2 linked regions of the Xenopus tropicalis genome follow. The protein of the gene in region 1 purifies or fractionates together with the protein of each later gene. This does not show direct contact. Links are inferred from orthologs where the notes say so. Each region holds a gene or a part of one and is shown on either strand. Other genes may lie near its edges. The genes, in order: abce1 and lto1.

Evidence for each region.
Region 2: the proteins of abce1 (region 1) and lto1 purify together in Homo sapiens (affinity purification with mass spectrometry; 4 studies listed by BioGRID and IntAct, with this or other methods). This does not show direct contact. The link is inferred for Xenopus tropicalis from reciprocal best matches to the Homo sapiens genes ABCE1 and LTO1.

The regions. Positions count from the first base shown.
Region 1 is NC_030677.2:59,060,062-59,063,875, reverse strand, and holds part of abce1 (ATP-binding cassette sub-family E member 1), read right to left. Parts: intron 2,881-3,814; 5' UTR 2,829-2,880; coding exon 2,726-2,828; intron 2,413-2,725; coding exon 2,327-2,412; intron 2,114-2,326; coding exon 2,016-2,113; intron 1,550-2,015; coding exon 1,432-1,549; intron 920-1,431; coding exon 782-919; intron 601-781; coding exon 531-600; intron 62-530; coding exon 1-61. UniProt on the Homo sapiens protein: Nucleoside-triphosphatase (NTPase) involved in ribosome recycling by mediating ribosome disassembly. Able to hydrolyze ATP, GTP, UTP and CTP. Splits ribosomes into free 60S subunits and tRNA- and mRNA-bound 40S subunits.
Region 2 is NC_030680.2:12,878,374-12,882,650, reverse strand, and holds the start of lto1 (protein LTO1 homolog), read right to left. Parts: upstream 2,850-4,277; 5' UTR 2,823-2,849; coding exon 2,773-2,822; intron 2,664-2,772; coding exon 2,558-2,663; intron 987-2,557; coding exon 916-986; intron 138-915; coding exon 20-137; intron 1-19. UniProt on the Homo sapiens protein: The complex LTO1:YAE1 functions as a target specific adapter that probably recruits apo-ABCE1 to the cytosolic iron-sulfur protein assembly (CIA) complex machinery. May be required for biogenesis of the large ribosomal subunit and initiation of translation.

The sequences.
Region 1 (3,814 bases):
AACCTCTGTAGCTCTCCCCCAGAAAGATCCTCCACGTTTCTGTCTCTCAGATGAGTAAGGTCTGTAAAACATGTGTTTATTAGCAGTAATCTCCTCCAAGTCTGTGCATACTGTATCTTTCGACAAGAGAACAAGTGCTGGAAAATTTAGGAATTACATTGAATTAAGTAAACACTAAAAAGTTCTGTGACAATACAAAGAAACAATATCAAAGGCTGCTCTGTCATTATGCCAGTCAAAAGTCTGATGTGGCTCATATATACAAAATATGTAAACATCCATGGTAAAGGGCATTTAAGCATCATACAACCAGTTATGAGGCCACAGGCTGAGCACTTCTCTATAGGTTATTATAGTGTAAGTTCTCAAGTGAGCCATTATATCAATAAGTTATTCAGAGCCCACCAAGTGCTAGAAGGTTTTTTGCTGGATTTATGAGAGCTGCACTGAACCTTCTAGCGGTAAAAGCAGGGGAAATAATACATGACCATACATTAATGTACAGCCTATATTAAAGATTTTATACTCACCTAGTTGATCACATACAGATTTCTGTGTCTTTGTCTCATCTTTTCTATCCAATATGGTACCCACAGGTCCCTGTGTACATAATTAAAAGAAAACAAAAAGTTTTTTTATTACATAAATGTTAACAGTGCATCCTACAGTTATAGGAAATCTCTGTAAATTTTGTAAATGCACTATAGTAATAATTAAGCAAGCAATTCATACCAAACTAAAATGTAGTTAACAGATTCTAGAAAATAAAAAGTGCAATTACCTTTGCAGCTTTTGGAATTTGGTCCACATACTGAGGTTTAATGATGGCCTTCAGGTCATCCTCCAAAATTTTGGTGAAGTAATTCTGCAACTCTGACCCCCTGAAATAGGTCAAGATCTCCTGCCAGTCTGGAGGATCCTTGAAAATAAATACAATAATGAGGAAACTATTTATATTATAGTTCTCTTTAGAGAGGAAAAAAAAAAAAAAAACACACAGAATGGAAAACAAGCACTACAAGCAAATTACTAAACAAGCTCTTCGCATCAATTTAAATGCTATTCAGAAACTTAAACTGTGGGCAAAAAACAAATTCCAAAAAACCCCCCAAAAAACAGGTAAGAAGGTGGCACTACCCTGCGACACAATGCTCCGCCTTCTTGGTATATTTTTTCCCCAGGAAAAATGCCAGCCCATGGGGAAAGTGACTGATTTAATTCACTGAAGGAGCATACAGTGGCACAGCTCCAATGAATTATGGTTTTCTTGTCCTTTAAGATCTCTCTAAAAATCACATTAAAAAAAAAAAAAACACATTCTATCTTTGAAAACAGAAGAGTTCAACACCGCCATAGACTGAATGAAATCAGTCAACCAGCATACCAATTATATTATTCAGCTGTCATTGAAATTTGGCAGCCTATACTTACATCATGCTTTCCAAGGTTTGGCTTCTGCTTTCCAGCCAAAATTTTCAATGCTGTAGATTTTCCGATACCATTTGTACCAACCAACCCAAGTACTTCTCCAGGTCGGGGAATAGGCAACCTTTATACAACCAAATCATTTGTTAAAATATATACAGTTTGTAATCCTCATGGCTGCAGATTAAATTAAAAAAATTAAAAAAGTCAGCACTGTCCAACTATTTCCAGGTAGTGACATAGTACTTGCTCATGGGCCAGATTATATAAACAGATAGTGTCATACAGAGCAAACTAAGGAGCCCACAGGCAAGCGGGGAGAAATAAAAATGCCTTGCAGTGGTACACCAAGTCCAGGGTCCTCCATGAGGACAGTAAAGATCTAAGCACCAGAAGTACTGCTGGTGAACTCTTTCATGTTTGATAGATATGCCCCTTTAAAAAGAACCTAGCTCATAGCATCCACAGAGTGGTACTTCCTATGTACACAGTATAATTCAGGAAGAGACAAATGAAATGTTTCTATTTTTCCACCTTAATTCAATTCTGTAATTTGCAGCATCTAACTCAAATATTCAAGAATCACTCACCTGTGAAGTTTAAAGGCATTGGCACAATATCTGTGGGTTGTTTCCTTCTCCAGATTGCTCGGCAAGTTGACAATTGACAATGCTACAAAGGGACATTTCTGTAAGAAAACAGAATAATATATTACACAACTGGTTTAACTACTTGCAATCGTTTACTCTATTTTACCAATATTCACACTTGAGGCTCAACTTAAGCAACAGCCCTGCTCCACAAAATCAACTAGCATACATACACATCTGAAAAAAAATGTCTGCTGCCAATATCAGCTGTCCCTAGCTACTGTAAATGTTAAAATTAAAAAATTGTTTACCTTGATACAGATACCACATCCAATGCACAAGGTTTCGGATATCCATACAATTTTACTTTGTGGAGTCACTTCAATGCACAATTTTCCTACAAAAAAAAAATAAATGCACTAATTACAAACTAAGCACTTCAATTGTTGTTGGGCATAAAGCAGCACAGAAAAATAGAATATACAGAATACTGATTCTATATATTCTATTTTTCTGTGCTACTTTATGACCAACAACAATTTATCAAAAATAATATCACAGCTTATAAAAAAGTTTTTTAAAAGACATTACACAAATACACAATTAATATGGATGCTGCCAGTCCCCAAAGAGCTGCACACTAATTTACATTTTTTAAATTCTTAATTAAATCTAAATCTGAATCATAACCGAACTGAAACGTCACTTACCCATCCTTACAACAGGGCAACTCTTTTTGCATTCTTGACGACATTTCTTTGGCTTGCATTTGTCATGATTGACAATAGCTATTCTCGTTAGTTTGTCTGCCATATTGTCTGGTATAACTGTAGCTTTGTTTTTCAATGGACACCAACTTTAACACCTGGGAAAACAAAATAGTAAAATTTTGGGTCAGAACTGCATTTAGGGTAAACTGCCACAAAAAAAGCACCATTTAATTTCAAGTGCTTTTATTGAAACAAAATGTTTAAAAGAGAAAATCAGAGGAAAAAGAAAAATCATGTTGTGGTGGAGGGCATTGTGCCAGTGAGGTAAACTGTGAACCATCAGGTAAATGGAGTTTTCTGTTACACTAGTAAATGCTTTTATTACATTCCGGAACTTCTAACACAGAAGGTAGATGGATCTAAGGGCTCTGGCACACGGGGAGATTAGTCGCCCGCGGCAAAACTCCCTGTTCGCGGGCGACTAATCTCCCCGTGTGCCAGAGCCCTAAGGCTGACTTCCTCAGAGTGACTTCAGTGAATGGGATGCCATAGCACCCATCTGATGTGCAATGGAACAGATAAGGCAAGGTTGCTACAGGTAACTACACTTAAGTAATTTAGCACCTATGTTTATAAAGTAGGCCTTCTACATTTTACAGAAATTAAGCAATTTATGGACCCCATTTTAAGTTAGCTGTCAAAAAATATATGAATCAAAGTATGTTTGCAAACCCAAGTGCAATTCACACTGATCTGAATCAGCAGACAGAGAGGGGTAGATGGTTTAGTGCATGTCAACAAATGTATTGTTCTAAGACAAGAATCAGCAACAAGTTGCTACAACTCATGGCACCTCATTAGTCTGGTATGGTTGGAAAGGAACAATCTGGAGATTCTTGGCTCCCATACTGTCAGAGTAATTAATTGTAAATAATCAGTACAAAAGGATACAGATTGTATCTAACAGTTTGATCTCTATATACCTGTGTTTTTTGTTAGCATAAACATATTCCACAAAGCTGTAATAAGAACAGTACAGGTATGGGATTAGTTATTTGAAACCTTTTATCCAGAAAGCCCCAAATTACA
Region 2 (4,277 bases), on another chromosome or scaffold:
TGCATTGTGCAACACTAACCTGTTTTACCTTCCCACGGATATTTGCCATGTCCTCTTGAAGATTTGGATTAGTTGGATCATCTGAATGAAAATTCCGAATCATGGCAATCAGTGAATCAAGGGCTTTTATTTTTCGCCTGCATAGAATTAAAAAAAATAACATCAATTTCCATTTATCGTAATGATTTACATCGTAACACTAGGCTAAAACACTTCATTGAAACTTAACAAGCAAAGCAATTTTTAGCAGTTTGGATCACTTGGTGCTTACAAGTCCAACAAAGAATTGTAGCAGTTATGACTGCATTCACTATTGACCTAATCTTATGAGGCCATCTTTTGAGTGTCAGTGGCGCTGCACATGCTCTGTGTGCTCTGTGTTGCTGTTGAGATGCTAAACTTACAGACCTTCTGAAATCTTAAAAGGAGGTTACCTCTGTCACAGAAGCTAATGCAACAGGGCTGATAATTCATGAACTCAGATGTAGAATACACTGGTTTCCAAGCTGCCATGTAAACTGAATCAGCTTGTAATGTAAAACAGAGATTTTTGACTGGCTTCTGTGGGCTTGAGCTGGCACAGAAACCCCAAAAAACAGCATTTCTAGCCTAGTTCTTTGTTTCTTTGGTCTCCTTTAAAAGGAAAGCACTATACATAACCTTAAGGCCTCAATGACAAAATGTTTGCATATTTTACCGTTGGATAAAATTGTGTTTTATTCATAACGAAAAACCATCTATTCTACTTATTTAACTACACAAGTCTTTTGTGACTGGATTTTCAGGAAAAGGTTTAACATGACATCCCTGAGGTCCTATTTTCAAAATAAGCTATATTGCTAGTGTAAGCAGGAACCTAATGTTCAGATTGATTGGATCAGTGGTGGTTACTTATTAAAGCACAGGAAAACAAACCTTTGACGATCATCAGAAGCAGGTACCAATAGAAGCCTCCATGTTGAAGCGAAACCCAGGTAACAGCCAAGCTGCGTCCAAAGAGGAGAAAAAGTGTAATTAAATGGGGCAATGGTTATTATCATTATTTATATGAGTTTTTTGTGGAGCAATCGCCTTTGCATTAAAGGAGAAGGAAAGTCAAAATCTATTAAGCACGCTATTAAATAGTACTACTATTGCTGTGTAAAAACGCCATATTCCTGGCTTGCCTAATGAAAGATTTACAGAGATACACATACTAGAACCTACATACTTGTTTCAGTGAACGGCGCCCGCCATCTTGTCTGTATGGGCTGAAAAGCACAAGCCAGCCCCCCCTCCGCTCCCCGCTCCCGCCACAAAGCCTCCGCCGCTCCCCGCTCCCGCCACAAAGCCTCCGCCGCTCCCCGCTCCCGCCACAAAGCCTCCGCCGCTCCCCGCTCCCGCCACAAAGCCTCCGCCGCTCCTCACTCCCGCCACAAAGCCTCCGCCGCTCCCCACTCCCGCCACAAAGCCTCCGCCGCTCCCCACTCCCGCCACAAAGCCTCCGCCGCTCCCCGCCACAAAGCCTCTGCCGCTCCCCACTCCCGCCACAAAGCCTCCGCCGCTCCCCACCACAAAGCCCCCGCCGCTCCCCACTCCCGCCACAAAGCCTCCGCCGCTCCCCGCCACAAAGCCTCTGCCGCTCCCCACTCCCGCCACAAAGCCTCCGCCGCTCCCCACTCCCGCCACAAAGCCTCCGCCGCTCCCCACTCCCGCCACAAAGCCTCCGCCGCTCCCCACTCCCGCCACAAAGCCTCCGCCGCTCCCCACTCCCGCCACAAAGCCTCCGCCGCTCCCCGCCACAAAGCCTCTGCCGCTCCCCACTCCCGCCACAAAGCCTCCGCCGCTCCCCACCACAAAGCCCCCGCCGCTCCCCACTCCCGCCACAAAGCCTCCGCCGCTCCCCGCCACAAAGCCTCTGCCGCTCCCCACTCCCGCCACAAAGCCTCCGCCCCTCCCCACTCCCGCCACAAAGCCTCCGCCGCTCCCGCCACAAAGCCCCCGCCGCTCCCGCCACAAAGCCCCCGCTGCTCCCGCCACAAAGCCCCCGCCGCTCCCGCCACAAAGCCCCCGCCGCTCCCGCCACAAAGCCCCCGCCGCTCCCGCCACAAAGCCTCCGCCTCTCCCGCCACAAAGCTTCCGCCGCTCCCACCACAAACCCCCCAAGCTCCACAAACCCTCTGCCGCCCCGCTCCCCCCATCTGCTTGTCACAGAGTTCGCCGACGCTGCGTCGCCATGGCAACCGGCCGCTCCTGCTGTGTGCGCATGCGTCGCCTGCATTAACAAGCCGCCAAGTCTTGAGGGAGTGATGCATTATGGGAATCTTCTCTACCCAGCTCAGCGTTTTTTTTTCTCTGTATGGGGAGACTTAAGGGCACTATTGAGAGAACTGAAGGTATGCCTGCAGCTTGGGATTAACTCTTTATTAGCCTTTCCTTCTCCTTTAATACATGGCATCCTTTAACCAGTGTCACTACTTATTTTTTAGTAGCACCGATTTACACTATGAATGGGGGTATCCTGTGAATCACACACACACACACATATATATATTTAATAGTATATAATTATACACACCTCCGATCCCATTCTTGCTCCATAGACAGCTCCATACTGCTTGCCCTCTGACTCTCCCGCACTGTTTCCTTCCGCCAACCCTTCCTCATACCCCTCCCCGCGGTACCTGCAAAGGAACCCAAGTCACTCGCACAACCACATAATGATACATTTCAAACTTGAACTTCCTCTGCCTGCAGCTGCACATCGGTAAGTAAACATAACACAGGCCGCACCTCTGCTCGCACATAATAATGTCATCAAACAGGTCGTCTGTCCCTTCCATTACTGCTCTCTGTCCCTCTCACGCCGCACACACAACCCTAGCTCAGCGAAATCAGCCTCTGAAAGAAATTCCGGAATTACGTCACACCACATCCGCCTCCCACAAGCAAATAGGAAGAGCGCTGGCCTAGCCGCTGCGTGAGAGCACCAAGATGGCGCCTGTAAAGCGCACTTCCTGTTTCGCAGGTTGCTATGGCTACTGCTTGTGACGCAGCATCGTCTTAGAACGCGGGAAAAGCGTGATAATAAGTAATAATAAGTAATAATGAGTAACTACAAGACCTGAGGTGCGAATGGGAGATTAGCTCTGGGGTAATGCACTAACAAGGTTTTAATGTAACTCTACCATTGCCCTGTCATTTGTGTTAGATAATATACAGGGATTATGAATAGAAAACAGGGTGGGTGCATAGTTGGAAAGAGTTTCTAAGTTTAAATGGGAATTCCCTGCTTTCAGCTTGTGGGACCGCAATGTTGGTGAGGCCATAGTGACGCACAGTGTCTGTGGTGTTTTTGCGGGCAGAGAGAAGTGGGCGGTATTCCAGGTGTGACTGTGGCCTTATGGTGGGATTCAGAGGGCATTTACACAGGGTTGGACTGGGCCGTCGGGACCCTGTTGCCATTCCCCCAGCCGCGGGTGTCCTCCCTTAACATGTTTCACTTACGGTGGCCATACGGGTTAACAGGGTCAGACTGGGGTGTCGGGACACTGGGAAAAATCACGGTGGGCCCCGGCGGCCCAGACCCGACCCCCCTGCCAGACTGCTCCTCCCCTGACGCATTAAATGTACGAGCTCAGGGGAGGACGTCAGGTGGAGGGCCCTGCAAGGGGGGTTAGGGGGGCACCTGTAGGGCCCCTGGGGTGGGAGTGGGGTGGGCCCTTTACCCCCCAGTCCGACAGGTTAAAACCTACGGGTGGGCGATATCGGGTGAATTTAGGCTAATTCAGTTGTTTGGCGACAATTGAATTAGAACGCCGGTCCCCGATCCAACTAAATTTTTTAACCTACCCGATCAATATCTGCCCGATTTCAGGCCAGATATCGGTCGGGCAGGTCTGTCGTTTGTGCCCCTACACGGGCCGATAAGCTGCCGAGTTGGTCTATGGGACCGATATTGGCAGCTACAATTGGCCCGTGTATGGCCACCTTTACACGCGCTCAGGGAAGGACGTCGGACGGGGGCCCCTGCGGGGGACGTGGCCAGTGGGGGCACCTTGGGGGGTGCAGGACCTCTGGGGCAGCAGCTCTGGTGGGCCCTGAACCCCCCCAGTCCAACTCTGCATTTGGAACCAGGACACCCACAGCCAAAGCCCCAGTATTGGACTGGGACAGCAGTGGCCCTTTGGGGCTGCAATGGGAAGGGCCTGGGGTCCGGTTTTTAGATGGGCTGCCCAGTTCATAGCTGCCTGCTTGGTTTTTAGACATCTGGAAACGGGGTAGGATTGGCGTGAAAT